Linked DNA regions of Astyanax mexicanus. The protein of the gene in region 1 binds, or shares a complex with, the protein of each later gene. Links are inferred from orthologs where the notes say so. Each region holds a gene or a part of one and is shown in the gene's direction. Other genes may lie near its edges. The genes, in order: med1, retinoic acid receptor beta, med24 and med21.

Region 1 (6,833 bases):
CTAGCATCGCCAGGCGAATGTTGGTGGCTTTTTAAAGGCATATGCTTATTTGTTATCTGATGCTCATTTTATGGGATGGTTGTTCTAAGAAAAAAATATGCTTCTAGGTACTCAGCGTCTTTCACTGGAGCACGTCCTTACAGCTTCAACATGTCTGCCAATGCTGCCCTCCTCTGTTTGCATTGTGCTACTACAGTATAGTGAATTTGGACATTCCCCCTGGTACTGAAAACTAGCAGTCAAAGACCCTGCTAGAGATCGACCGATATTGTTTTTTTTATTGGCCAATGCAGATATTTAGACAGCAGATGTATATAATTGATTTAACATTTTATATTTATATTTATAATTTATTTATGTATATATTTATTTATGTATATATATTATGTATATATTTTCACAACTGATTTTCAAGCAACATAATCTCTTTTACAGTTTATTTAAAACAAACACAAAATATGGGAAAATACTGACAAATAAAATGTGCAATATAAATAACAGTCTAGCTTAACTTTTCTCCAAAGGGTTTCCACAGCATCCTCAGTAAAGTACATTTTAATGATATCCAGAGGAGATAATAAATAATGCAACAAAATGTGATCAACTGTTCTTTTATTATGTTTAACTTATTACTAAATAAAGTACAGAATATGCCATTAACTCAGTCACATATTTAGTGTAGTATTTACAGCATTTACCTGACCTATGTATTGTAATTACCACCATTAACCAAACCAACTAAATACAGGACAGCTTCCATGAATTAGCTAGATCCAAATAATGATAATACACTGTTTATTTTATGATACAACATGATATTAATTACTCCACATGATGCTGGTGTTTCCATGCATGTTCTTCCTTCACACTATTCACACATTTCAGCCACACATTTAGTGATATTTCCATTATGTACACACAATTGATCACGACACCCACAGTAACAATACTTTTTTTTTGTCTGTGTCAATTTGACTATTTTTTTTATAATTATAGGACAACAATGCAATTCAAGTGCCTTTATTTGGTGGGGAAAATATTTTAAATGAAATCATGTGTTCCACAATTATTGGCACCCCTGGTGTTAGTACTTTTTACAGACTCTTTTTGCAAGATAGGAGAATACAGAAGAGGGGTCTCTGACTATTCAATTTGATTTTTAATTTAATTTCTATAGCGCTTTTTACAACAAAAGTTGTCTCGAAGCAGCTTTACAGAGAAAAACAGGTCCTTTTTTGAGCAGCACCACAGACATGACAATTATTATTGCGACAACAGTGGCATGGAAAAACTCCCTTACATGAAGAGGAAGACATACTACACAATAAAATTATATGTTTGCACGGTTTTACTAAACACAACATGTTACATTCACAGTGAGGGGGGAAAAGTATGTAAATCCTGGATGTGATGAGATTGGATGTGCTGGTTAAAGCTGTCCTGCCCTATAAAAAATGGCAATAATCAGCCGATCACTGAACCCTACTATCAGTTTCATATTGTGATTAAAGTATTCTTATCTAAAATAAGCATCATGTTGTAAAACATTTTACAACGGAATAGAATAGAATGTGTTTATTGTCCAAATGTGAAAATGAATCTTTGGTCACTCATGGCACAAAGATATCTACAACATATCACATATTTTAAAATAAAAAAGTTGCAAAACAAATTAAACAACTGATGTATTCAGAATTTCTATTGCATTTGGTACAAATAATCGCCTGTGAATATTACTAGTAGCTGTTGGCATCATCATTTGCCTGATGGCATCTGTTAGAATTGTAAGTTGAAAGGGTGAAGTGTATCCTTTTCTAAATTGTATTGCCTTTCTTTAAGTACTGTTGTTGACTTTCTCCTACCAGTTTTTTACTAATCTCATCAGTCCCAAACCAAACTGTTATAACATAAAGCACTTTCAATAAGCAAGCGATACAGTAGTTCTACAGTATCCAGACTGACCTCAAACTCATTTGATATGAACTTACAAATACTGTTAAAGGGTTATGGGTACAGAACCTGGCTTTATCGTTTCAAATATTATATGTTTTTTCTTACATATTCAATATTGCAAAAGATGGTTTTCTTATGCATTCATTGTTTCAAAGATTAAATGACAGACATCCCAAGTTGCAAAAGTTGATTTCAGGGAGGTTAAAAAAAACTGATTGGCTGTCTCACAGACTCTTTGCAGAGAACAGGCCAATCAGAAGCCTCTCTGTTTTCTCTCTCTCCCACACGCGATTAGAGAAAAAAAGTCTGTCGCCTGTGTGCGTGTTTGTGTGCAGTGCGCGTTTGGGGCACTCGTTCTGAATTCCGGGAGATTATATGTGACTCGCGGGTATCAGGGAGCCACTACCGAAATGCGGGAGACTCCCGCAGCTTCAGGGAGACTTGGTTTGTCTGAAATGAATTCTCCTGTCTAAAAGGTTTCTCTTTATATTCACATTCACTGCAAATCAATGTGAATAAATGTTAGATGGCTAACGATTGGCCTAGAATGATTGATAATGTGTCATAGTGCCATATATGGATGCCCTTCTGCCCTTCCAGTAGAAAAGGGAACCTTTATGCAGAGCTTTCTAAAACACCCCTACTAGACTAGCTGTGCCAAAGTTTCCCTTTCTACTACAGAAATAGAGATACGGTGCTTTCTTAATGAGATAAACTGTATTTGACGGTACGAAACAAATTACATTGTTAAAAAACTCATTTCCAGTGTTAAATGGGCACTGGATAAGATTAATATTTTTGTTCATGGGCTCCCCCTACAGTTGCAGAGTGTAACTCATGTCCAGGTAAGGGTTGAGCCTCTCCATTCTTTTGCTTCTGTTTAAGAGTGAAATGACACAGAGCCAGTACATCTCCAACACAAGAGAGCTATCTGAACTGTAGCGATAATTTGTCTGTGTCATTTTGCATGACAGGTTTTCTTTATTGGTAAAAAAGATGACTCAACCAAGACATTCAGTGTCTACAGCTATGATGAAACAGAATATGATTACATGACTACACAGAAGCACTAAATAAAACATTACACATAGTAAAACTTAAACAAAGTATCAGTAAAAATTCTAATCTGGATCAAAATATGTGCAATATCTATGCCCTAATTACCCAAATCTGGACCACAACATCATGAAATAATGTAAAAACTTTAGGAGGCAAGCTAGACTAGATTATATAACACAGCGTAACAAAATAAATCGTTCCTCCAACAAGAAGCTGGCCAGATCTGTATCTGGTAACCAAACAATTTATTATCTCGTAGCTTGCGCCAATGAGTAAATTCTCATTAATCAATCAATCGGTCTCTCGCTCAGTTACACTCTCTTCTTCCTCTATTCTGCCTTTTTGCAGCCACAGCGAAAATTCTTTAACTGAAGGACTGAACTGGCCTCTTCTGTTTTGGTCTTCTGTGTTCAGTTTCAGACCTCCTCTAGAATATACTAGCAATATGACCTGCTCTAATATGGAAGTGTGTTTACTGTATTAAATATATAAAAATATACAAATATGATGAACTTTTATTCCTTTCAGCATGTTTATCTCCTCCATATAATGCGCATCATTGGGGGAAAAAACCTAATTCACAATGTTAAGTAAATGTTATTTTTTAATAGAGTTAAACACTTCAGACAGAAAGCTTTGATTTAACATTTGCATTAAAGAAGGTGGGTAATTCGGGTTTTACACAGAAGAATATCTCTGCTTTTTCCCTGTAAACCCCTAAAGCCTGAATTTAGAGCTTAGTGGGAGGTTTGGAACACAGCCCAGCACTTTTACTGTGAGATTTGGGACAGACCCAAACTCAGGCGCCCTCGCTGCGTCACACCGGCCGTGAGGGAGCGAAGATGGCGGCGGTGCCGTTAGCCGGCTGCAGCCCCGCCGCGGAGCCTGCAAACACCGCCGCGGTCCCAGGGCCCGCGGAGCGGCTCAGGGTGGAGGAGGGAACCGGTACGTGTGTGCGGATCACTTTCACCCGCCGGATTAACCAGCGTATCTCTATCTACCGCGCTTTACCAGCCGAACTGAGCTGGGTCTTTTACCCACATAGCCTAGCTTAGCTAGCTAGCTAACAAACAGAGCAAGCTATACCAGCATTAGTGTTAGCAGTAGCATTAGCATTATCTGTTGCTGTTATGAATTGAAGAGCAGGGCAGCCTATTTAATAAATTCTGTATAATAATGTTACTTATTATAAGGATTCCAGATGTGGGAGTTATATATAGGGTTATGGCAAGGTGTCTGTATAAAAGGACATATAGTATTTTAAAAGAGAAACTGTTAAAAGTGATTCGCTGATTAGTTAGCTATAGGTTGCTAAATACCCAACTAACAGAACAGCGCAGGTTTGAAGTTTAGATACCCGGTCAACAGGGTCCAATAGGTGGAACATGGTTCAGGTGGGTTACTGGTGAATATGGGCCATGAATAGCTTCGTAAGTGTGTTTTTACTGGGACCCAGCTTCACAAATCTGTCCCATCATTACAGCCACCTTAATCAATATTTTGACACCTTATATATAAACAGAAATACAATTAAGTCTGAGTGGAATCTAATTTCTGAGTTCTGCTGTGGGATGCACCTTCACTTGAAAGGGACTTGGAAACATGATGGAAAGACAACTCGCCAAACTGACATCAATTTTCACACCAATCAGTGTGAAGGATAGCGAGACCCATCCTACATATGTAATGACAAGAAGTAGCAGTATCAGTATCCTGTTTATTGTCAGTTTTTTTTACTTTTTACTGCTTAATATGAAAGAAAAATGAACACACTTCTTATTTTCCATCTGTCCAGTATCATTAATTTTACTTCATCAGTGGATACGTGGATTGCATTATTATGATTTTAACATTTAATTCAATATTTGACTTCTGGAGAAATCTGTTAAAATTAGTTGAATATCACAATAAACATTGCAGAACAACAAAAATAGTGTAATTTTTTCCACTATGCAACTATAATTTCAGGACATATTGAGAGATACAGAAGCATCATCTGAGTGTGAAAGAAGCATGTGGATTTCATGTGGTCTGTAGAATAATATTACAGGAATTTGAGATGGCCCTATCAGTGGTTTAGGGGCATATCTTAGAAATATCTTAGTATCGTAGAAATATATAAATAAGTTATAATTCTAATAATAACAATAATCTAACATAACATTAGCTCAGCTCAAAGTCTGTGAATCACTATACAGAACTGCACTGTGGAGCTCAAGTCATCCGATACTGATACACAGCCGATCAACCTTTTCACCTATAACAGGGATTGATGTGAGTGTGACTTAAGGCAAATTCATTAAGGCCTTTAAAATTGTTTGTTTTTTGTTGGGACATGCTCTCTGTGGGTGGGTAGATAGCATTCTCTCACCACATGATGTTTGCCCCTGCCCATGATGTCTCCCCATGGTGATGTGGGTCAGCAGCACATGCGTGCCACCACATTGGTCTTCACTGTTGAGGGGATTACCAGTGATATTGGGAGTCCTAATGAGTGGTTTGGGTAATTAGATCTCCAAATTTGGCAGAAAAAGTGTTGCAATTGACAATGATACTAAAAAAAAAATTTGCAAATCTCATAGACCCATATTTTATGAAAGGCAAATTTTTGAATTGTGAATATTTTCCCGTATTTGTCTTATTTTTTTGCATGATGCATCTTTAATCTGCATTTGTTGATTGAACCGCTCACTCTGGATACAATGTCTGGGGCCAAAACAATGATTTCCAGAAAAGAATGTTGCCTGTGTTCTTATGTAGTGGGTTATCAAATACTGACTGTCAGCCTTGTACCGATAGCTGAGGAGAGATAGGAACACGTTTTGTACATTTTCAACATTGTATAGCTTGTATAGTCTAAATGATATGATTTTAGTTGCTGTGATTTAATTGTTATAATTTTACTTGCAAAAATTTGACAACAGGTCAAGGGCGTTTTGTTTACTGTTAATTTTTGTTTTGTTGTGTTTTGTCTGTCCCCTCAGAGGCAGAGAAGCAGACTCGGGTGTCCGCCCTGTTGGAGAGATTACACGCCAAGCACAATGCCGCTCGGCCCTGGCAGGAGACCAGCAAGATCGTTAGACAGGCCATGGTGAGAGCAGAGCAAAGGGGCTAAAGGGACTGTAGTGGTGGGAGTAACTGAGCATTTAATACAGTCTCTGTTTGTTTTTTAACACTGTTTCTGTTTGTGCTCAGGAAAAGCGTGGGGTGATGAATTCAGCCGGACACCAGCTTCTGCTCAGCTGTTTGGAGACACTACAGAAGGCACTAAAAGGTAAAGCTTTACTGGTTATCACAACTCAAACAAATGTAATTTTTAAATACAGATCTGTGCTTTTTTAGTTTCTAATCCTCTATATTAATCATTTAAAATTATTTATTTAAACATTAGGAGAGTGTTTGCTGTAAAAACATTAGATCAGATGCAGGTAAACATAAATGCAGTTAAAAGTAACCAGAATTTCTTATTCTGAAGAAATTAGTGGAGATATTGTGAGGAAGTCTAAACAGCAAAGTTGGGTCCCTGATTCCTCCTGGTTCTCCTGGTCAACCCCAGCCAGCGTCCCAGTGGATGTGTTCAGTTCCACCAGCAGCTGATTTACCATCAGCACACTCTGATTTTACTAAACCAGCTGCTGATATGATGAGAATTCTAAATATTGCATGGAGAGCTGTGGAGATGTTTTAATGAACACTGTGATATAAAACCACTGTTTGTATGAAGGTTATTTGTTTTTAAGTTTTTCACTGAGCAAGTAAACCAGGGTTCATACGGTCATGAAAAACCTGGAAAAGTCTTGGAATTTAAAAATACCAATTTC
Region 2 (7,939 bases), on another chromosome or scaffold:
GTTTCCGCCTGTTCTCGGGCGTCCTGTCCTTCGTTTTTGTCCTTCGGCTGCCTTCCCAATTCACTAGCCAGGGCAGCGTTAGTGTATTGGAGCGCGACCCTGACGACACAAGTTGGGTTCCATGTGAGGAGCGGTGTGTTTGTTTTTTTTTATTTTTATTTCTTTTCTTCTTGGGTTTACCTGCTTTGAGATCAACTGTTCTGCAGTTGGGTTCAACAAACCTCTGGGCTGGAGAGCTACTAGTGTGTAGCACTAAATCCCATTACACCTCATTATACTTTATTTTCCAAAACAGATTTTTTTTTTGTGGCCACATAATGGAAAATATCTGGCCAGACCCCTGCTGTGTTGTATACTGTAGATTGGTCAAATTTTCTATTCTAAATCAGTTAAATCTTGTCTAAATCTCGCTGTGTTGTGTCGGTGCTGTCCCTCCCGTGACGTCAGGTCTCGTCCGACTTTATTAAATGATCAGGAGCTGTCTGGCGTCTCGCTCGAGTGAGTCTTGGCACGCGACACACGGAGACGCTGAGCAGCGATGCCAAAAAGTGGCTTATCTTGATGGAGCGGTTCATTATCACTTTCTAATTACAGGTGGATTTCCAGGTGGATCCATTACCTGGCGGGGCTGAAGGCTGAGCTGCGGAGGGGAGAGAGCGTCTGCAGAAGAGGGCGATGAGGAGGGCTAGAGTTACAGCGCGGGGGCCGCGGGGGGTCAGGGACCGTGTGCAGTGGAGGGAGGAGGGATCGGGGTTTTCTTTTCAGCTCCTCTGTCGAGTCTCTCCATTATTCATAAAGCAGCGGAGGATCGATCTCGCCTCGAAACCGAGCTCGCCTCTGAGAAACACGGTGCTGCAGAACGTAATGGTGCTCAGAGAAGAATGGAAACTAAATCATCATCAATTAGCATGGATGTTTTCTTTTCAACATGCCTGGAGATATTATACACCGCCTGCACTGACGATCAGCACCCCAGCCTTTCAAAATATTACTCACAGAAATGAATCTGCTTCAGTATTAAAGCGTAGGATTGATTTCTCAAGCATATTTACTGTTTATGAAAATGCTGTACCTGGAATAGCACTACTCTCTGTACAGGGGTACATACTGTAAACTTTTTGTGCTGTAATCGAGAGTCATTGCGGTGTTGAGACTTTTTTTTTTACAGGAAAGAACTGATTGATGACACAAAGCCACAAATTACACGATTTTACACTGTGAGAAATCTCCAACTCACCTGACTGCTCTCCAAAAACACGTTTCATCACGACCAGAACACACCAGAACTAAACACACTCGAGAACTATCGATGCTATGCTAGAAAATCTCTATAGAGAGGAGAATACGCACTTAAAGTGAGTCCAACATGAACGGTTTCATATAAATTTATAAATGTCTGATCAATTTTATACTAAAACATGTACTTATATCCTAAACACAGAACTATATCAAATGTTTCAACACTGCAAACAGAATTTCAAAGCCTTTTAAACTCTAAAGGCTCTAGTTCACCAACCAATCAGCTCATATTGCAGTATTGATAGCATCTCTACTGACTAAACCCTGAATGTTGTAGAATAATGGAATAATGGTTTATTTGCTTTGTTAAGAAACATTCATTATTCTACTTTCTAAATGTAAAGGAATACTCAGAAGAATATTTTGTAGTTAGCCACCATTTTTGGCTTTTTTAGCTCCATTCAGCTCTATTCATAGAGGACTCACTCATTAGCTGTAGGTTGGCCGCTGCTCCTGGCTCCCAGTCGCCGACTGGGTCAGATATCTAGCATGCCAAATTTTTGCTGTGTCTTCGACTGATCAGAGGTCAGTCAGCGACGGCTCAGCGAGTGTCTTTCAGTAGTTTACACTACATGTACCTCATAATCTCACAATTTACACAGAGCCTTTTTGCATGTAGGTGAATGGTATGTTTTTATGCCTTCTTATAACTCCTGGACGTTACTGTAGTTAAGCCTCTGCAGCGTTTCTACTTTTTACCATGACTTTAAAAGCCAGTTTGATTCACGTGTTTAAATTGCTTTTAATTTCACACTATCCAGCCAATAACACACAGCCGCGCACGAGAACATGCAGCCGGCCAGACGTTCCTTTAGGCTACGATTACAGAAATGACACACTCCATATATACTGCTGCACTTCAGTAGAATAAAGAGTGAACTGAATAGACTTCCCTCCTTATCTGTCTTCTGTTTTATCTGCACTACAGTCATGAGTGTGTGCGGTCACATTCCTCCAGCTACACCATTCACACCACAGAGTACTGTCTGAACAGAATTCAGGTCAGGGTGAGGTTTTAACCCTTAAAAGTCGAGTTTGTGCTGCAGTTTTGGAACACAGTTCAAATTTAATGTAAATTTTCTGTTGTATCTTCCTTCCTTTTATTACATATTTAGCGTTTATTGGTGCAGGATGGGCTTTAGAGCACTAATCCAAACCAACCAAAACTTCTAAAACTCTTCCTCTTGTCTAGCAGAACACACACACACACACACACACACACACACACACACATAGGCATAGGCAGCTACACATGTGCACTCGTAAGCAGTGAAGATTAAAGATTAAAGTCTTGCTCAGCTTCAGGAACATCATTTATATCCTAAGCGACTCCGGTAGCTGCGAAATTGGTTTCTAAATTTGGTGGATTAAGCAGCGCCGCAGCTCTGGGTATAAAGTTGTGTGAGTTGGAAGAGGGACAAGCGAGCGGCCGGAGCGGGAGCTAATGCGGTGTTTGGAGAGTCATGGAGCGATTCCAGACCCCCTCTGTTACTAAAGAGAGACAAGACGAGGCTTGTTCACATTACAAGCCTCATTAATCAATTCACATATCTTTACTCGGATTAGATCTGGATGTTTCACATTCATAAATCTAAGTGACCTGTTTCTAAGATGCATGAAATCTGATCTGATGTACACATTTAATCATGTTGCATGCCCACTAATCATATATGTATATATATATATATATATATATATATATATATATATATATATATATATATATATATATATATATATACAATCTAAGACCATGCAACAAAGTTATCAAAATTGGATCTCTTGTAAATGAAAAAGTATGTCGGCACCCACATTAGGTCAGTGGTTGAAATTAACATTTGCAATTAAGAAGTCACGTCAATTTAGGGAGATTTTAAGGGAGATCTGGGGTCAATTTAGGCGTTTTATGGAAGAGGATCCATTAAACTATTCATTAAACTATTTGAAGATTAATGTATGTTGTCAAAGTGTTTGATGTTGATGCTGACAATAGCACCATGAATTTTATTTTATTATTATTATTTTTATTGCTATTATTATTTTTGTCATCTTGTTATAATTGTGCTGTTTAAATAGCAAATGTGTGAATGGGGTATGTGTTGTAGCTTTGTATGTTATGTGTTTGAATACTATGTTTGGTTAAAAAACAAAGAGGCTTCAGTACACAAGGAGGGTGAGGAACACCTGGGACCTGTAACGAGGGGGCGGGGTTAAAAACAAGACACAAGGCAACAACAGTAATGACTAGGGGTGGGGCTAGAGCAGAGACAGGGCAGAGCACATGGGGTAGGAAAACAAAACAAAGCCATGTGTAAGGAGATCTGTGTCATTTTAAGGTAAAGAAAATGTGATTTCAGGCATTTTAGTCTGTCAGTGTGAACATAGGCTAAAGGTCTAATTTGGGGGCTGGTCAGTTTTATATGAAGTATTTTTAATGCGGTTTTAAAGGTTTTTTTATCGTTTTTAATATTCTAAATACTTCAAACATCAGATATATTCTGTATAGAATTGTGTGCGTGTGTGTTTGTGTGTGTGTGTGTGTGTGTGTGTGAAGGTCTGAACAGGTACGGTTGTTTGCAGTTGTGGCAATGTGTTTGTAATGTATTTTATAGTTTTTAATATGTCTGTTTCACTTTTTTATTGTAATGCATTTAAAAATCTGGATTACATCCTTATGCTTTTTAGAAGTAAAATTTTGGGTCTTGGGTCTTATCAGTATTTCTGTTACGTGCACTATTTTTTTTTCTTACCTTTCTTAATAACTTTTTATTTTTTTCCTTCACTGTGTTTCTTCATAATTTTCTAAGAGTTTCTTGCTTTTAAATCTTAATTCATTAGATTATTGGTTCCTGTTAGTGTTTCTTTCTCAAGCTTTTAATATTCTTAAAAAATCTTAAGGATTTTTTTTTTTAGTGTTTTAGTGTTTTTAAGTGTATTTTTTTTATACCTGATTCATTCTGGTGTTGGATTGTTTTGATTGATAAATATAGTAGAGCAAATTGTGTTTATAAATTACATAGTATTAGATATTTGTAGATATTTTAGATACATTTACTACATTTAAATTGCCTTAAGAAAGAGAGAGAGAATGAACAGGAAGGAAAATAAGGCCATTAAATTTCATTTAATTTGAATGTAAAATATATGCAGAAACCCTGAATTATTATTATTACACAAGAGTTAGACATTCTAGAAACGGTGAAGAAAATGTATGGGAGCCTTTCACAAAAATAAAAACCTTGTTTACACCCAAAAAGATCACAGAGAAGGGTGGGTTGTTTTTTTCCTGCTTTTGTTTTCTTTTTTATACTGCCCTCATATTTTCAGACTGTCTAGGCGCGTAAAAAAACATGTCCCATTGGTGAAGAAACCAAAAAATATATAAATATATTTAAATATTTTATTTGTAAAAAATATTCCGAAAAAATATCTTAAGTGTTTTTGAAGCTTTTTTTTTCTTCAACAAAAAAACAACAAAAAAACTAGGCTATCATCGAGTGTTGTGTTTTTCTTCTCTCTCTCTCTCTATCTCTTTATTCTGTGTTATTTTGTTTTCCACCCGTCTTCATACAAACCACGCCCCCTCATCGCCAAACCACGCCCTCGTCACCACAAATCCCCGCCCATAATCGCTGCGAGTGGCCGGCAGCGACTCTGAGTTTTGCGATTTTAGTCATTCCATCCAATCCTACTGCAGTAGGCGCGAACGCTCCAGCCAATGGGAGCACGCAGGAGGCGTGGCGTGCCGGAATGCGGGTGTGGCTCCGCAGCGCTCGCGCTCTCTCTCTGTGCGTGAGAATCCCGGGACTCGGTGATGATGTCAGAGCGCTGGGGTCATTTGAAGGGTAGCCGCCTCGGAGGGGTTCACGGAAAGTTCAGCCGCATACATTAGGCGATTCAATCCCTCACTCCGCGCGCGCGCGACACCGTACTGGTAGGAAACAGAGCTCGCGCGGAGGCAGGATGAGCCCATTCGTCATCTTTTAGGCTCGGAGACGTGATTTTGTAAATGAAGGAAAAGAGGAGAAAAGAGTTTGATGTTGAATTCGCTTGTTTCTGTGCTTGTTTTAAAGCAAAAACAGAGGATGACACGCGCTCGCGCATCGGCTTTTAGAGGGAGCGCGCGTGCTAAAAGGTCCAGCTCGTGAGTTGGAAAAGAAGCACCGGAGAAAAACAAGAACAAGGACTTGGATGGAGTTGGGGGACAGTTTGGACCGGGAGTAGGTCCGGTAGTCGCGCGCGTGAATTACAAAGCTGGTGCTCGTGCGTGCTGGTGTTGTTGTTTTTGTTGCTCCTGGTTCTGGTTCTGGTTCTGGTGGTTCTGCTGGTTCTGGGAGGAGGTGGGACACAGAGTGGACCCCGGTATGTTCGACTGCATGGACGTGCTCGCGGTGAGCCCGGGCCAGATGCTGGACCTGTACCCTCCGCCCCCGTCCTCGTGCATGCTGCAGGAGCAGGCGCTGAAGGCGTGCTTCCGAGGGCTCGCGCGCGCAGACTGGCATCACCGGCGCGGCGGCGCGCACTGTACGGTCAAGTCCTTTACACTTTCTCCACTTTCTCTATGTCTCTTCTTGTCCCTGTCTCACACACACTCGTACACACACACACTTTATTTTTTTGTTTTTAGTGTTGTTGGTCGGACCGCTCGTGACCTTGCTTGATTGCTGATATGACGCTCGCTTCTTTCTATGACATTGCTGCGTGTTGACATGACATGAGTTCATTAATTGGCGCACGCACGCGCGCCGCGGCCAATTAATTAATGCGTGCACATATGCAGCGGTGACAGTTATTTGAAGATTGTGCATACATTTAGTATAGGGCAGAATAGGGATGCAACAATCTCAAAAACATATATTGGTGCGAATATAGAAAGAATTACTGTGTTTCTAAAAATTAATAGTTTTTAAAATTAATTTTGAATTTTAAATTAATTAACTTTAATTTTGAATCGTTTAAATTTTTTGTATATTTTTCTTATTTAAAGTAAACGGAATGATAAAACTACTCTTTTAAAAATGTTTTTTTTTTATTTAACACTAAACATTTATAACAAAAAATCTAAACACATACATTTTAAAAGTACAAGAAATGTACAATATAAAATGTAAGCCTATTGCTTCCACTGCTTTAGAATTAAACATATTACATGTCATTAAATCCTAATAACAAAACACTCAGAAAACAAAGAGGGCTTTTTTAAAAATCAGGATACAAAACAAGGAATGTAGAAGGGAGAGGAGAGAAAAGAGAGAGAGAGAGATGAGGTTAAACTAGGTAACGTGAGGGTAGATTTAGAAGTTAAATAAATAAAAAAATAAATAAAAAAGAAATTTAAAAGGACATTCACATTGTAAATTAAAGCCCGCAGCACTCAGTCACTGTTTGCATGCATGTGATTTTTTATTTCATTTTTTTCTGTGAGCACCGATCCATTTCTCTATGTGCCACAATGTTCTGCACAGCAGAATTTGACAGTGCTACAGTACGTTAAAGCAATATTGAAAGCACAAAAAAGCAACAGTAACTCAGAAGTGAGTTTTAACAAGGTAAACAAGCTAATTCTAGGGCTATGTTAACTGCACTACTGCTCAGCTAAACACTACTACCCTGGTCCTGTAAAAGCTCGTGCAAGCTTAACTTTTTAGATGAATAAAATACACTTTGTGAAGGGGTAATACACTGTGTGTAAACAGATTCTAAATTTAATAACGATGCTGAAGACTTTATATCATTTCATTTTATTAACTGGAAAAATGAACTTAAACCTGCTGTTTATCAGCTCTGTGCCAGCTCTCTCCCACACTCCCTACTGGCACTGTGTGTAGCAGCTTTCTTGTATGCAACACCACCAGAGAAGGGGGCCTGTTGAAAATAAACATATTAGGGAAAAAATGCAATATGACATAATATAATATAATAATATAGTCACTGTTTGATTTTGTTCATTATATCAAATGCGGAAATAACTGAATATTTCGAGTTCTCAAAAATTCTGTGCATCCCTAATTTAAATATATTGCAAACGGATTACATGCATACATTTCTATTTTGTTTATTAGATTAGATATTTTTTACATGACATGCTTAATAATAAGAACATTACATCGTAGTCACAACTTGTTTTTATCTATGTATACACGACAGCATTATATCATGTAGCCATATATAACATATACAGCTCTGGAAAAAAAATGAAGAGAGCACTTCAGTTTCTGAATCAGTTTCTCTGATTTTGCTATTTATAGGTTTATATTTGAGTAAAATGAACATTGTTGTTTTATTCTATAAACTATAGTATTTGGTGCAATAACCCTGATGGTTTTTAATCACAGTTTTAGTTTTTTCATGCATCTTGGCATCATGTTCTCCTCCACCAGTCTTACACACTGCTTTTGGATAACTTTATGCTGCTTTACTCCTGGTGCAAAATTTCAAGCAGTTCAGTTTGGTGGTTTGATGGTTTGTGATCATCCATCTTCCTCTTGATTATATTCCAGAGGTTTTCAATTTGGTAAAATCAAAGAAACTCATACGAATTGTACTTTTAGTTTAGAAGTTTTATAGTTGTCACTTGTTTTATTTACTTGTAAGAATCCTTGTTTAATAATACTGTATGCAGCATTACAGCTGCACTCAG
Region 3 (6,879 bases), about 18 Mb from region 1:
GCTTCAAACACGAACACTAGATCAATTATTTATAAATACAGCCAGACTGCGTGGAAGATAATTACTACTGTAGAATCTGTAGAAGTTTAAACTGCAGAGCGAAGCAGAGCCGCGGATACGAGGTATAAACGCGCTCCGCTGCTTAGCTGGATACACCTGAACATTCGTTCTCAAACCTCCGCAATTTCAGATCATTACCTTATTTCATTTAAATAGCATCTTAGTCATAATATACGTACATCCCTTAAACATAAAATAGAGAGACAGAAAAAGCTCGCACCGTGGTACAATGATCAAACTCGTACGTCAAAGCAGTTAGTACGAAATTTAGAGAATATTTTCACTCTGCGTGGAAAGACCGTCTTGTTAAATATAGAAAAGAACTTAATAAAACCATAGAGCTAATATAATCCTAGAGCTCTCTTTAGTGTTATTTCCAAATTAACTAAAAAACAGACAGGTACTGAACCTCAGACCCCAGCCATTCACACCAGCAACGCTTTTATGGACTTCTTCGATAGTAAAATTGAAAACATCGGGATAAAATTAAACAGATAAACAGCACTTTCTCTCTGTCATCTGATGCGGCTGATCTAGAACAAAACCCTGTTACGGAAGTTAGGTTGGAAGCCTTTAACCCATTCCACAGCTAGAACTAGAGAAAATCATCTCCTCTTCAAACAGCTCAACCTGCACACTTGATGCAGTTCCCACAAAATTACTAAAACAGGTACTACCAGATATAATTAAACCTCTGTTAATAATAGTAAACTCATCGCTCACCCTAGGCCATGTACCCAAAGCCTTTAAAATAGCTGTAATTAAACCTCTGATCAAGAAACCAAATCTTGATCCTAGTGTACTGTCTAACTATAGACCTATTTCAAACTTACTGTTTATTTCTAAGATTTTAGAAAAAGCTGTGGCCCAACTACTTTGCTCTTACCTTAAATTTTCATTGTTATGCGGATGAAACGCAGCTCTTCATTTCAGCCAAACCTGATGACAGAGTGAGATTAAAGAAAATCATGGATGTCGCACAACTTCCTCCTATTAAATAGTGATAAAACAGAAGTTCTCCTAATATGCCCAAAGCTGCTAGAAATAAATGATCAGACTTAATGCTAAATCTGGCCGACTTCTCCATCACACCTGGTTCAGCAGCTAAAAACCTTGGAGTTATTATAGATTCAGATCTAGCATTCGATAAACAACATATTTAATGTTGCTAGAACAGCTTTTCTACACCTCCGTAATATTGCCAAGCTAAGAAATGCCCTATCACTGCATGACGCAGAAACATTAGTACATGTCTTTATTACCTCAAGGCTAGATTATTGTAATGCGCTACTGTCTGGATGTTCCTGCAGTAACTTAAATAAACTTCAGCTAGTTCAAAATGCTGCAGCCAGGGTCCTAACTAAAACTAGAAAATGTAAGCATATTAATCTAGTCCAATCATCACTGCACTGGCTTCCAGTCAAATTCCGCATGGACGATAAAATTCTCCTGTTAACGTATAAAGCCCTACACGGGCTCACTCCTGAGTATTTGCGAGACCTCATCTCCTATTATGAACCACTGCGATTACTTAGATCTCAGGGTGCTGGTTTCTTAGTAGTTCCTAAAATTCATGCCTCCATGTCTATGTTACTTTCTAGATCTGCCGGAGACATTAGCCACACTCTGATAATGTTTTATATTCTCTGTTTTACATAAATCCAGTCAAAACTAATTCCATCTTTCTGCCTTCCTCCGAGTTACTGACTGCCCACCTGTCTGACCCAATACCGATGGATCTTGGACCCTCAGGCTCTCATGTCCCCTGTCTGGCCAGACTGGAAGTTTCTGAAGTCAGCTCTTCTCCATCCACCACAAATGCATTTTGTTGAACCAACATGACTTTATTATATTATTTTAAAGCTATTATTTTATGTAAAATATAGTATAACTATTACAGGAGAGCTTTGGCATACTTCATATGAAGATTGTATTTTTGCAAGCTGATCTATTATTTACGTAAAACATTTTGTATATCCCTAAACTGCCTAGTACTTTACATAAACATTTGCAGAAAGTTTTAGAAACTTTTCACACAGTTTGGAATCAATCAGTAATTCCTGGTATCCAGGATCAAGTTTTCACATTTTTCCAAGTTTTCCAGCTTATAGAGTTATCAAACCCCTGAAGGAGTGTGTAATTGGGAAAAACACCAATATGCAGACCATGAGGGGGACTTGTGCTCTATCTATCTTTGCCTAATACTTGCAAATTAAAGTATGATTGTCACTCAAAATGTTAATGAACATGAAATAAATAAATAGAAATTTAAATTTTAATAAGTTTTAAGTGTGCTTTGTTTGTGTCATTTTTATAAACTAACTAATCTCCGGACATCAGCTGGGAAAGGGCGAATGCATAGGCCTATTAGTCAAATAGAAACGTTAGTAAAGACCCTCTGAAAATAAAAGAAAGTTTAAGACCTTAAGGGAAAAAGATCTGCGTTTTAAAACTGGAAGACAGGATAAGCAGAAATCCAGCTTGTTTGGTGGGAGGAAGTGGAAGCTGCCCATTTCAGAACCGGAAGAACCTTCATTAGGATATTTTGGTACAGTGAGTGGAAGAGTCAGTGTTCAGGACTTCAATCATGGTTCTGGAAAACTGGAATGTCTCCGCTATAGATGGAAGGTTCTGGTACCAGCTTGGCAAACTAAAGTAAAGGAGAAAAGAAAGGAGGACATGGACAGTAAAGAGGACAGCCAGCAACAGTAATATAACAAAAATGACTAAAGATACATTTAGTGAGCGTATAAACATGCATTTAAATAATGAGATAGCTAATTAGTATATTGTTTGTTAAATGTTTATGTATTAGCTTCAGCAAATATGTACATTAAACAGTCACATTGGCCCCAATGACCCACTGCATGAGGACGTTTTTTAAAATAACCATTGTGAACCAGATTCAGAATAAGGAAACAATCCAAAACCATCCTATTCTAACAACAAAGCTACATCTGGTTACAAGTTGAAAAACTCTTCAACAAAAATACCAGTAATATCTGGACACTCTTATCAAATCAGCAATGTCTTTAAACTCTACTGATCTATTATTGCTAGGACATAAATGTGAAGTGGCCACAAAAAGGTTTTAAAAGAAACACACACAAAAAAACATTTGCATATATGTTCATATAATTCTTACTTTTTCTGATTCATTCTTAGATCTAAATCATAATTTTGTAACCGAGAAATCATGACAGAACCAATTTACTCACTTTTGCCAGCAATATGAGAGAATCTTTTCAGCACAGCTCAGTAAGAATGTCATTCAGCTTTTTGTGGTTTTACTAAAGCCATCAAGGCTATAAGATGAATCTTATCTGTTTATCACATTCACACAAACAATAAGCTTCTGTAACAAACTGCTGATTATTACTATAAGTTTTATTTTTTATCTACCAATAGTTCTAAGCTTCAAGAAAGAGTCACCCAAGAGTCAAATAAACTAAATTTTCCGCAGGTGCTGTAGGTTTTATCAGTCAGTGAATAACGATTGTTCTTTATGTTTTAAATTGACTGAATGTATCAGAATAATGTTGTTAAGAGGTAATGAAAGCTTATAGCCTGCAACAGGCATCATACAAGCATTTGGGTTTGTTCAACAACCTAAAACAGACTTGTTTATGGAGTTTTGACTGTACCTTTTCAGATGGGATTCTGCCTACCACCTCTTTACCACTCGCCATGAGCGCTCCCATCACAGAGTAGGCCACAATACTGCCGGGCAGAAAAACATACTGAGTTGCCGCCATTCTTTCGAATTGGTCAGTTCTTCGCGCCTGACACTCTGGCTGAAACTCCTATTTTTTAGAAAGGTAAACAGGAGGAACTACAGTTTGTATGTTTTGAAATGGTCTTATTTTTTTTACACTTTTAACATTATTTATGGGATATTTGGATAATTTTAAACCTATTTAGTTAAATAAATAAATTAATAATAAAACAAACAAAAACATAGCTGTAACAAACAACAGTCAGGTGACCCCTAAAATATTTAATGAAGGCAAACTGAGACCAACAATGATGGGGTTGGGGTGCTTTATAAACGAAAGCTCCTTTGAATTTTGGGAACTACTAGTAAACCAGCACCCTGTGATTTAAATAATCATGGTGGTTTATAACAGGATATGAGCTCATAACAATAGTCTAGCCTTGATGTAATGAAGGCATGTACTAATGTTTCTGTGTCATGCTAAGATAAAGAATTGTTTAGCCTGATAATGTTACAAAGATGCAAGAAAGCTGTTCTTAGATATGTGTTTATCGAATGCTAGATCTGAATCTATGATAACACCAAGATTTGTTGGCAAGATTTAACAGTCTGATCATTTCTTTTTAGCAGCTTTTGGCGTAATAGAAGAACGTCGGTTTTATCACAATTATGTGGTATTGATAATGAAGCATCGGCTAAAAGCGCAGTATTTCAGGATGCCGAGGGTGAACGAAGGTGGGCTATTTGACTAAAGTTCGTATTTCTTATTATGTTTCACTACACCCCAATTCCAGTTCACACAGCATTTCTCCTTTACCGCATTTTCGCCTCACACTAAAGATAGTGTCTTCCTGACCTGTAGGACAGGCTATAGCTGTGTATAAGAAATACATCAACTTTTTGAGAGAGATTTTATGATTAATTTAAAGAATTTGGTTTACGTGGAGGTGGAATAATCTTTTTAGCAACCAAAGCTACTTGGGACACAAACAATCGATAAGATAAATATGATATAACGTTTACATTTAAATAGCTAAAACAAATATGTATTAATGCATCAATATGTAATAAACTATTTAGAAGTTTTAAATGACTTTTTTTATTTACGTTTTTTAAAACAGTGTTTTTCTGTTGTTGCCTCAAGACAACATTATTATAAACTCTCTCTCGCTCTTTCTTTCTTTCTTTCTTTCTCTCTCTCTCTCTCTCTCTCTCTCTCTCTCTCTCTCTCTCTCTCTCTCTCTCTCTCTCTCTCTCTCTCACTCTGATATTGACATAAAAATAAATAGGAATTCCCGGATGTTTTGCGCAATTTGGAATTTTTACATCAAGAGAACATACCTGGGAAAATACGTCTCTTTCAGCGAAACCACTACATACCTTCCGCACGCACAAAAATATATTAATAAAATGTAAAAAATTAACAATAAAAAACAGTTTGAATTCCAAGCTCATCTGTCTGCTGATCGAGCTCGGTCACAGCCAACCAACCGCGTTAGAGCACACTCAGCGCGCTGGACCAATCACAGCGCGTGTTACTGTTTCCAGTATGGCGCCGGTGGTAAGCGATTGAATTGAAAAGCAACATTAAATCTAATCTTCAGTCAAAGAATAAAATCAGGTAAATCACCCTTGTACTATATTTATACTATAATGAAGATAATAATGGTAATAAAAGGCTGTTTAGATATCAGTTTAATCGTTAATATATGCGCGCGGTGTGTGTTTCTCTGTGCTCCTCTGGTTGGTGGGTTTGTTTGTTGATGTTGAGACACTCACTGTTCTGCGATTATTTATGTTATTATAATAACTGTATCGTTGAATGTGGGGTATTTAGAGTGAGAATTACACTGAGGTATCGCTGCGTGTGAAAGATATTTTATTAATAAACTCTGGAAAGTCATTTTCCTACTTAGTGTGATTTTTCTTTTATTACGTAGCGGTATATATCTAACGTTAACATGCTCCATATTTCTCATTTAGGTCACTATTGAGAACGTGTCCGAATCGTAAAGTGAAATTGGAACGTGATTTTGAGGGCACTATGAACTCCCACAATACTGTTTATGCTGTCTATACACTAACGTACAAGTTTTTGAAAAGACTCTGAAAATAAACATAAATAAATCATAGTCTGACACCCTGTCACATTTAAAGAGAAGTCTCTCACTTTTTACAGATTTTTAGTCACATGATAAGATTTTGCAAAGACTGGGGATCACTATTTACAAGACTGCAACTAGATTGTTTCTGAGATCATTTCCCATCATGCTTCTGCTGGAGTTTAGATACAAAACATACTACATATTAATCTAAAAATAATCTGTATATCAATACTGTGAGTTATCAGAGACCCACAACCTTTGTCCCCATCAAAAGTTTATTTTTTTGCCGCACTGTTAGTGTGTTTGTTTTGTGTTTAAGCTTATAAGCTTCTTTTCCCCTATTTTTTGCAACAACTTTGAATATTTAAGAAACACAGTTTCCCTGTTTTACATTTTCCTTTGTTTTAGATAGATTTAATGTAATACAAAACATCATTCTTGCTAAATGTGTATTTATTAAATAACACTGCACAATAAGGCAAAGTAGTGCAAAATGGAATAACTGTAAATATAATGACTTTAAAGTGCTTCCTGTGTTTAAAATACTGTACATATTAAAGTTAGAGCAATATAAGGTATTTTAACTGCAGAATGTGTTCTTTTTCAAGTCGTTTGTAAACAGTTACGTAAAATATTATTGCTTTGCCTCTTCCGTAGCTCTCCTATTGGTTGTTGATATTGTTCACGTCACTATTTGCGTGAGCCAAGTATCAAGATTTACGATAACATTAAACACGGTTGATTTTATCTATTTTATCACGGTTGAATGCCAGAATGAGACAAAGACTGACTAAAACTTTTAATCCTAATCCTAACATCTTTGCAGAATGAAAGTGGTGAACCTGAAGCAGGCCATTCTACAGGCATGGAAGGAGCGCTGGAGCGACTATCAGTGGGCCATCAACATAAAGAAAAACTGCCCCAAAGGCGCCACGTGGGATTACCTCAACCTGGCAGGTGGGACTAGGATTATTTCAGTGCCAAAATATACCAGAGTAG
Region 4 (7,187 bases), on another chromosome or scaffold:
CATTCATTTCCATTTCCGTCTAAGTGGCGCGGCAAACAACGAAAACACAACGTGTAATCAATCCAGAAGACGCTGGAGCAAATTAATAAATAGTTAAGAAAATTGTAATAGTTATTCTCATGCATGCAACAAAAAACCCTAAAGAATAGTGGAGTATGGCCCGACACACTTTGGGAATAAACGGCCGCACTGTTCAGCACGTTTTAAATAAATTTTAAGTAAATTTTAAGCACTAAATGTAATTAATTCAATTTATATTAGGACCTCGGGGCAGGTGCTGCAAAAATGTGTATGTGGGGCGCGGATTAAAGGAAGAGGTTTTTTTGCGGAGCGGTAACAGGACAAAAACACCTTAAGAATGATGTCTAAATGACTTTCCTCTAATCTAATATAATTTAACATGGTTTAAGGATATAAAATAATTTCTAAACAAACGAACTTTTTAATATTGAGCTTATGGCCCAAGTGCAAAAACACAAAATCATTTATCATTTAGATTATCTGCCTGAACGCGAGCCCGAACCCGAGCTTGAACGCCAGCCTGACTCAGGCGCTGCATGAACTCGGGCCGGTCGAGAACACCGCTTTCCTCTCAGATTAGGCGGAAGAAAATGGTCTTTTTTTTTAATGTAACAAATCACACTGTGATTTTTGTGATATTTCCCCAATTACAGCTCAGCTGCGCGTTTAAAGCTCAACGCATGAATTAATCGGTGCGCTGTGCGCCGCGCGTGCTCGCGGGGGATTTGACGCGTCTGTCAAGCAAGTTAATGGACCGTTTTGGGGGCAGAGATTAAGAAGTACAGCAGGTACATCTCAGATTTGTAGTTTAATGCTCTACTAAATTACTGGCTTTAAAACTGGCTCATGATATGGTCGGTTCTGGCTGGATTTTTTCCTGCCTACAGGCTGCATTTGACGGAAAGCAGCTCCTCAGTCAGACAACAGTGTCAGCATACAAATCGTGTGCGTTTCCTACAGGACAAACCATTTAAAAGTGCAGATAAACTCATTAAAAAATCACACAGTGTCTGTCTGGCTTAAAATACTTTTAATAAGGTACAGCTTTTAAATTAATAAATCAACATTCATTAAAAATCCGTGAGAAGTTCTGTATGCTAAATGACAAGCTAAGCTAATAAGCTAATAACATTTAATAATAACAGAAAAATAGATATGAATTTGGAAAATAACCAACTAAAGTGAGCTCAAAATACAATAATAAATATAATCTAACGAATTTCAAAATATAAATTAGAAATATTGAACTTCAATATTAAATTCAACTTCAACTACAAAAAACGCAAGGACCGATAGAACATAACGAACAGAAAAAAATAAATTTGAAATTGGAAAAAAAGTTCAAAATGCTAAAAGAAATAAAACCTAACGAATTTCAGAATATAAAATCTAAATATTGCACTGCAGCAGTACAAAAGCCTAAGTGCTTAAACAAACAAACCAAAAAACAGCCTATCACAAATCATTTTTTGAGCCCGACCCAGCTGAGGAAAAGGTGGGAAATCTTTTTTTTTCCGGCTGGGTCTTGGAAAACTTTGTGGTGAATTAAAGGGGCCGAGTTGCAATTTTTGTTTTACTTTAATCAGTTTTTAATCCGTCTTTTTAAAAACAAATATTCCAATATTGGCTGCCAATCAGTGCCCAATATTCTGAGCTCAAAAAACGCTATTCGGGCCAGCCCTACTAATCTAATATAATTTAACATGGTTTAAGAATATAAAATAATTTCTAAACAAACGAAATATTTAATATTGAGCTTATAGCCCAAGTTTTTTTTCAGTCATGGAAAATTGGAAAAAATTGGAAAAAAGCCCGAGTTCATGCAGCGCCTGAGTCAGGCTGACGTTCAAGCTCGGGTTCTGGCTCGCGTTCATGATTAATTTGTTTTTTTTTTTAAACTAATATTGGAATATTCGCTACCAATTACTGCCAAATATCCGGAGCTCAAAAAATGCTATTCGGGCCAGCCCTAATAATTATGGAGATACAGAAAAAAATATTGTGATAAAACTTCCATCACTCCCTTATTCTCTCACTAATAAAAACAAACCTTTAAGTGTGACACAAAGTGATTTGATTTATATCGTGATACATATCGATATCGACTGATATGGAAAACTATATCGTGATAAGATTTTTTCCCATATCGCCCAGCTCTAGTTATAGGCCTTCCAGTGACTGCAGTAAACCACTTTATGTTGTCTCCATTGCTGACACAAATGTGCAAATACACACACAGCTTTTCTAGTCCCTGCAGAGAATTACTGTCAATAGAACAGGACTCTCTGGAGCAGAAAAAACATAAACCTACTGGCATGCCTAATGCCAGGTGTGGGCTAGAGTAGTAATTCAGTACATTTGGCATAAAATGGGGAGCTGAGAATGTGTGTTGATTTTTGAAGAATCAGTTAATCAGTAGTAAGTTTCAATACCTTTGTCCTTGGAGTACATAAATACTGTTCAACTACCCAGAAAAAAAACACATAAATGTATATAGATAACTTAGTTCTTCTGAACAGTTTATGATCTACAGTGGTTTCATATTTTTAACAATAATATAATATAAAGTAAAGAAGCAAGAACTTATTCTTGTTAGACTATCAGGACAGAAAATTTATGGCAGAAACCTCACATCTAAAGAAGACAAATTTGGCTCAAATAATATCAAAATAAAAAGTAGGGATGCACACGTCGGAATTCTAGGCCGATATCTGACATTATGTTTCTGCCGATACCGATATACACATTTATAACAGAGAGAAAGACTATACACTCTAGTATAACTTTGGAAACAAATGTAACATTTATTTGCTTTTTTTTCAACCAGCTGTATGCTAACAATACAATTTAATTTGTTTTCACATTTTCTGCTTTCACATTTACTTAACTGGTCCTCACCTAGACTCACTGCTCTAAACCCTTTTTTAAACATTAATGGATTTTAAAGTAGCATGGCCAATGTCAGCCAATTATATTAGTGTGGCCAGGGTTTCTTGGTTCCTTTTTTACATACAATAAATACGTCAAACGGTTTGAAATATCACCCAAATGGTCAGATGAGTGTGATAAAAAAAAAGACATTTTGGCCCATACCAATTTAGTTATTTAATTCTGATATTATCGCGCAACCCTAATAGAAAGGACACTGAAATGGTTTAACCACTGCTTTGAACTATTACTATTGACCATTAGATCACGCTCACGTGAGGGTTAATGCTCACAGACAAATCCCGCCAAATTACTGTCAGAATAAAGTAAATTAATATACAAGACGAGAGAAAGGGAGAGACAGTCTTAAAGTAAGCCTTTTACAAGATAGCTAGCTAACAGTATACATGAAAAAGGCAAGAGTTGGCTATCTAACAGTTAGCTAACCCCAAGTGTCTCCATGTTCGACTGTGTCAGTCCACCTTAAATGGAGCAGCAGTCCCCCCATTCTGTCTCTCAGGCGCTGTGAACTGAGCTACAGCCTGTAGTTACTCGTGGATCTATTTAAGGTGGTCCTAAAAAAATAAAATACAAAATATATTCAACAAATCTCGAATAATACACAAGAGGTCCGTTTCAGAATTAACCTACATGTATACACAATCAGACAGCTAAAATAATCTAGTTCACTTCTAGCTAGTTCTATTCGGTTTCTGCACAGATCAGCCAGGTTATGTTATCTTAGTTTACTCAGATTAACAGTTTAAAGCGTCTCAGCCGAAACTTCAGCAGAAATCGCAGCTGCTGTTTGTGTTCCTATGCGGATTGTCAAGTGTGTAAACAGAGCTCAGGAGCCCGAAAGAGAAACTTACTCTCATCCTGCGCCTGCAGAACCCGAAGACAGGAAAGGACGACAAACAGTAAACCGCAGAAACCACCTCCACCTCCTCCAGCAGCTCTTCTCCCGATCACAGAGCTCATCTTCTGCCCCTCGGGCCGAGGAACGGATCCCCGACACACACAACGGACACGGCCAGCAGCAGCAGCAGACCTCCACCGAGCCTCCTCCGGCAGCAGCAGCAGGCCTGGCGCATGATCTACACACCACCACCACCAGCCGCCGCTCGCTCCCTCTCTCCTTCTCTCACACTGTCAGCCCGCGCTCTCTCTCTCTCTCCTGTACATACTCACACTCTCTCACACTCACGCTCACGCTCTCACCATCTCGCCCCCACGGTCACGTGAGCGCGCCCGCGACGTTAGCCCTCCGGCCGGCGGGGGGCGATAACCAGAAAAGATGGCGGACAGGCTAACACAGCTGCAGGACGCAGTCAACTCAGTAAGATCAAAATTATGTGTTTTAAACTGTTAATTCTTTACGAATGTCGCACTGTGTGAGGTAAAAAGCAGGTCTAGTTCTCAGTTGGTGTGTTTGTGGGGAATGGGAGGTGCTGCTGTTCTTTTACTCATGACTGAAATGAAACTGCGGCGAGCGTTAGCCAGATACAGCTAACGCTACAGCTATGATGGGCTAGAGGAGTAACTAGCCGGCCAACTAGACATGTTAAAGATAGGCTATGCAATAATACATGTTAGTTAGTTCATTAATGTTAGACACGTTTGGTCGCCGCTAGATAAATCCAGACTTGTTGGCATGACAGATATTCGCGGTATCTAACTAAGTTAATAACTTAGCTAGTCTCTCCGAAACAAGACCTAATATCTTTAAATGTTTTCTGTATTACTACTGTATTAACTACTACGCTAGCTTACAAGGCTACACTAACTGACGTTAAGCTAATTTCTGTTAGGTCGTTTAGCATAAAATGACAGTAGTGATACAGCTCGAGCTCAGTACTTAAGTTACCAGAAAAAAGGTACAATTCAGGACCTTCTCAATGTAGATAGATAGATAGGTTAGCTCGTTTAGATGGGTTAGGTTTTACTAGTTAACCCAAAAGAGCCCATGGTGACTCGTCTCACAGACCCATTAAATGATGTGTCAAGTAAAGCACTTTCTCAGTCATTTTATCTCATGAAGTCCCTTAGTGACACATAGGTTAGCTACTAAACATCCTGACAGAATTACAGCACAGTTCATTCATCTGACCTCGTTTAGAGAATGTAGGAGTGCTGGAGATATAACTAGCTCATTTTAAAAGTGTATTTTTAATTCTACGGGTTTGTTTCAACCGTTAATTTAACAATTCAACTGCTTTGATTAAATGTTTTACCTTCCGTAGGATTAGTAATTGCTACAACAAAATGTTAAAAATAAGTTTTGAAATTGTTGTTCTATTATTTGTATTACATTAGGATTTTAATCTTAAAACATGTACATTAAAAAAATGTGAAAATATCAGTAATGACATGTTTACCAGTAATGATATCAGACCTACTGATCTATACAGATATTTTGACTAGTCATATTACCAGAATGACACAGTGTCATTTTGACTAGTTATATGTAGCTTAACATTGATTGATTTCTACATTACTAATGTTATCTTCAGATATTTTCACTATCTGACTAGGAAAGACTTTATGTACACATATTTGTAAAATGAATATTGAGTATTAACAATGTTTAATCAGCACCTCTTTGGCTCTCTATCTCAATTTTAGCAGGAAATGAGAGCCACTGCTTTATTACACAATGTTGCCCGAAGGCAGCGGAAAAAACACTGTTTTAGAAACTTTACAAGAAGAATAAAAGAATATCTTGCACATAAATATTTTTATTTATGGCCCACACATACACATTATTGTATTTGAAGTAGACATGCATTGTAACATTCCAAAAAAAAACTAACTATTAGGTAAATAAGGTAAAGTATGCTATTGTGTAAAAAACAACAAAATGGTTTGTTGCCTGAGGGTATACATTGTGTCAAGGAGGGTTGTACTTTTGACTGGTGGAAGTGCATTTAGGATATTTGTAGTATATGTGCAATATAATTTGAGATTAATAATAATAATATTGATGTCCAAAACTACAGTTCTTACTAGTCGGAATTACATTACAATAGATTACTTACTCTAATCACCCACTACTTCAGAGGCTCTAGTTATCACCTTCATAAATGTTCTGCCTAATAAAGCATGCAACACCATTAAAAGTCTCAACAGTCAAGTCTGGTGTCCCAGACCACCTTTCTCCTTTCTTCAGACTTCTCATTAAACCAACTTCATTACTGTGGAACCACACCAGGCTCAGTAGTAACTAAAGCCAGACAGAGCTCATCAGTTCCATGTGTGACTCTACTCACTTCATCAGAAACACTACAATAACATATGCTAAAAATAGTATACATGTTAGTGTTTCAATATAAACTATATCATTTGATTTGCAGCTGGTAGAAAACAATATTAATGTAAGAGTTTATATGTTATCAGATCAGATTCCTCCACACCCAAAAGTCAGAGTGATTTACAAAAATTGTGATTTTTTTGGGGGGGTTTTATTTGAGTTCTACATGCAGTAAAATTTCAGTTTTATGTTTGTCTTGATTTTGCGTGATGTAGTTGGCTGATCAGTTCTGCAATGCCATTGGAGTTCTGCAGCAATGTGCGCCACCTGCTTCCTTCAGCAACATTCAGACAGCCATCAACAAGGACCAGCCATCAAACCCCACAGAAGGTCCAAACAAATTCTCATCATCTCACAGTGACACATTTATTAAAGCTTAACAGGCAGTTATTAATGTTTTCAAACCAATGTGATTGTTTGTTCCATGCTGCTTCAGGCTAATCGCTGTGTCTTTTTTGCCACAGAATATGCACAGCTTTTTGCAGCCCTGATTGCAAGGACAGCGAAAGATGTTGATGTGTTGATCGATTCGCTGCCTAGTGAAGAATCTACCGCTGCTTTACAGGTTTGTATTATGAATGCTCATGAGATTTTGAGAGTTGTTAGGAAACCTGATTATTGGTTAAACATTTTACAATGTATTTGTTAATTTGCTTAAAGTTATGATAAGTAATTTGTAAAATTGGTTAACAGGTTTGCAGAATGGGTTAATTAGAGTAGTAAAAGGACACTCAATAAACTGATACACTTTAACAAGCACCTGGGATATCATAACAACTGCCTAGCAACTACTTAGCAGCACCTTAGCAACCACTAAGAAATGTCATGCAAACACCTGTAATATCGTAACAGTCACTTTGTCAAAGCAAAGCAATGGCAGCCACTTGGGATACCTTAGCAACCACAAAAGCAACACTAGAGTAAACCA

Evidence for each region.
Region 2: the proteins of med1 (region 1) and retinoic acid receptor beta are in contact, whole or in part, in a crystal structure (PDB 1XDK), measured with the Mus musculus proteins. The link is inferred for Astyanax mexicanus from reciprocal best matches to the Homo sapiens genes MED1 and RARB. Residues at the interface, in NP_001073587.1 of Mus musculus: His642, Pro643, Met644, Leu645, Met646, Leu648, Leu649, Lys650, Asp651; in NP_001276689.1 of Mus musculus: Ile264, Val267, Lys271, Phe276, Ile281, Gln284, Ile285, Leu288, Lys289, Pro435, Leu436, Glu439, Met440.
Region 3: the proteins of med1 (region 1) and med24 are in contact, whole or in part, in a cryo-EM structure (PDB 8T9D), measured with the Homo sapiens proteins. The link is inferred for Astyanax mexicanus from reciprocal best matches to the Homo sapiens genes MED1 and MED24. Residues at the interface, in NP_004765.2 of Homo sapiens: Phe375, Asn377, Gly436, Leu437, Gln439, Glu441, Ser453, Asn459, Asp460, Ser461, Leu462, Val463, Cys464, Tyr480, Lys481, Gly482, Asp485; in NP_055630.2 of Homo sapiens: Lys7, Ile10, Trp14, Lys15, Arg17, Leu47, Ala50, Met51, Ile52, Gly53, Pro54.
Region 4: med1 (region 1) and med21 share a complex: the UniProt entries of both Homo sapiens proteins name them as parts of the mediator complex. The link is inferred for Astyanax mexicanus from reciprocal best matches to the Homo sapiens genes MED1 and MED21.

What each region holds. Positions count from the first base shown.
Region 1 is NC_064422.1:3,176,756-3,183,588, forward strand, and holds the start of med1 (mediator of RNA polymerase II transcription subunit 1), read left to right. Parts: upstream 1-3,833; 5' UTR 3,834-3,854; coding exon 3,855-3,957; intron 3,958-5,996; coding exon 5,997-6,103; intron 6,104-6,207; coding exon 6,208-6,286; intron 6,287-6,833. UniProt on the Homo sapiens protein: Component of the Mediator complex, a coactivator involved in the regulated transcription of nearly all RNA polymerase II-dependent genes.
Region 2 is NC_064410.1:607,252-615,190, forward strand, and holds the start of retinoic acid receptor beta, read left to right. Parts: upstream 1-4,937; 5' UTR 4,938-5,663; coding exon 5,664-5,823; intron 5,824-7,939. UniProt on the Homo sapiens protein: Receptor for retinoic acid. Retinoic acid receptors bind as heterodimers to their target response elements in response to their ligands, all-trans or 9-cis retinoic acid, and regulate gene expression in various biological processes.
Region 3 is NC_064422.1:21,445,748-21,452,626, reverse strand, and holds the start of med24 (mediator of RNA polymerase II transcription subunit 24), read left to right. Parts: upstream 1-3,857; 5' UTR 3,858-3,878; intron 3,879-5,238; exon of another isoform or gene 5,239-5,396; intron 5,397-6,706; 5' UTR 6,707-6,707; coding exon 6,708-6,837; intron 6,838-6,879. UniProt on the Homo sapiens protein: Component of the Mediator complex, a coactivator involved in the regulated transcription of nearly all RNA polymerase II-dependent genes.
Region 4 is NC_064409.1:37,875,376-37,882,562, reverse strand, and holds the start of med21 (mediator of RNA polymerase II transcription subunit 21), read left to right. Parts: upstream 1-4,183; 5' UTR 4,184-4,246; coding exon 4,247-4,288; intron 4,289-6,474; coding exon 6,475-6,589; intron 6,590-6,723; coding exon 6,724-6,824; intron 6,825-7,187. Other genes in the region: tm7sf3 (transmembrane 7 superfamily member 3), read right to left, coding at 3,822-3,930. UniProt on the Homo sapiens protein: Component of the Mediator complex, a coactivator involved in the regulated transcription of nearly all RNA polymerase II-dependent genes.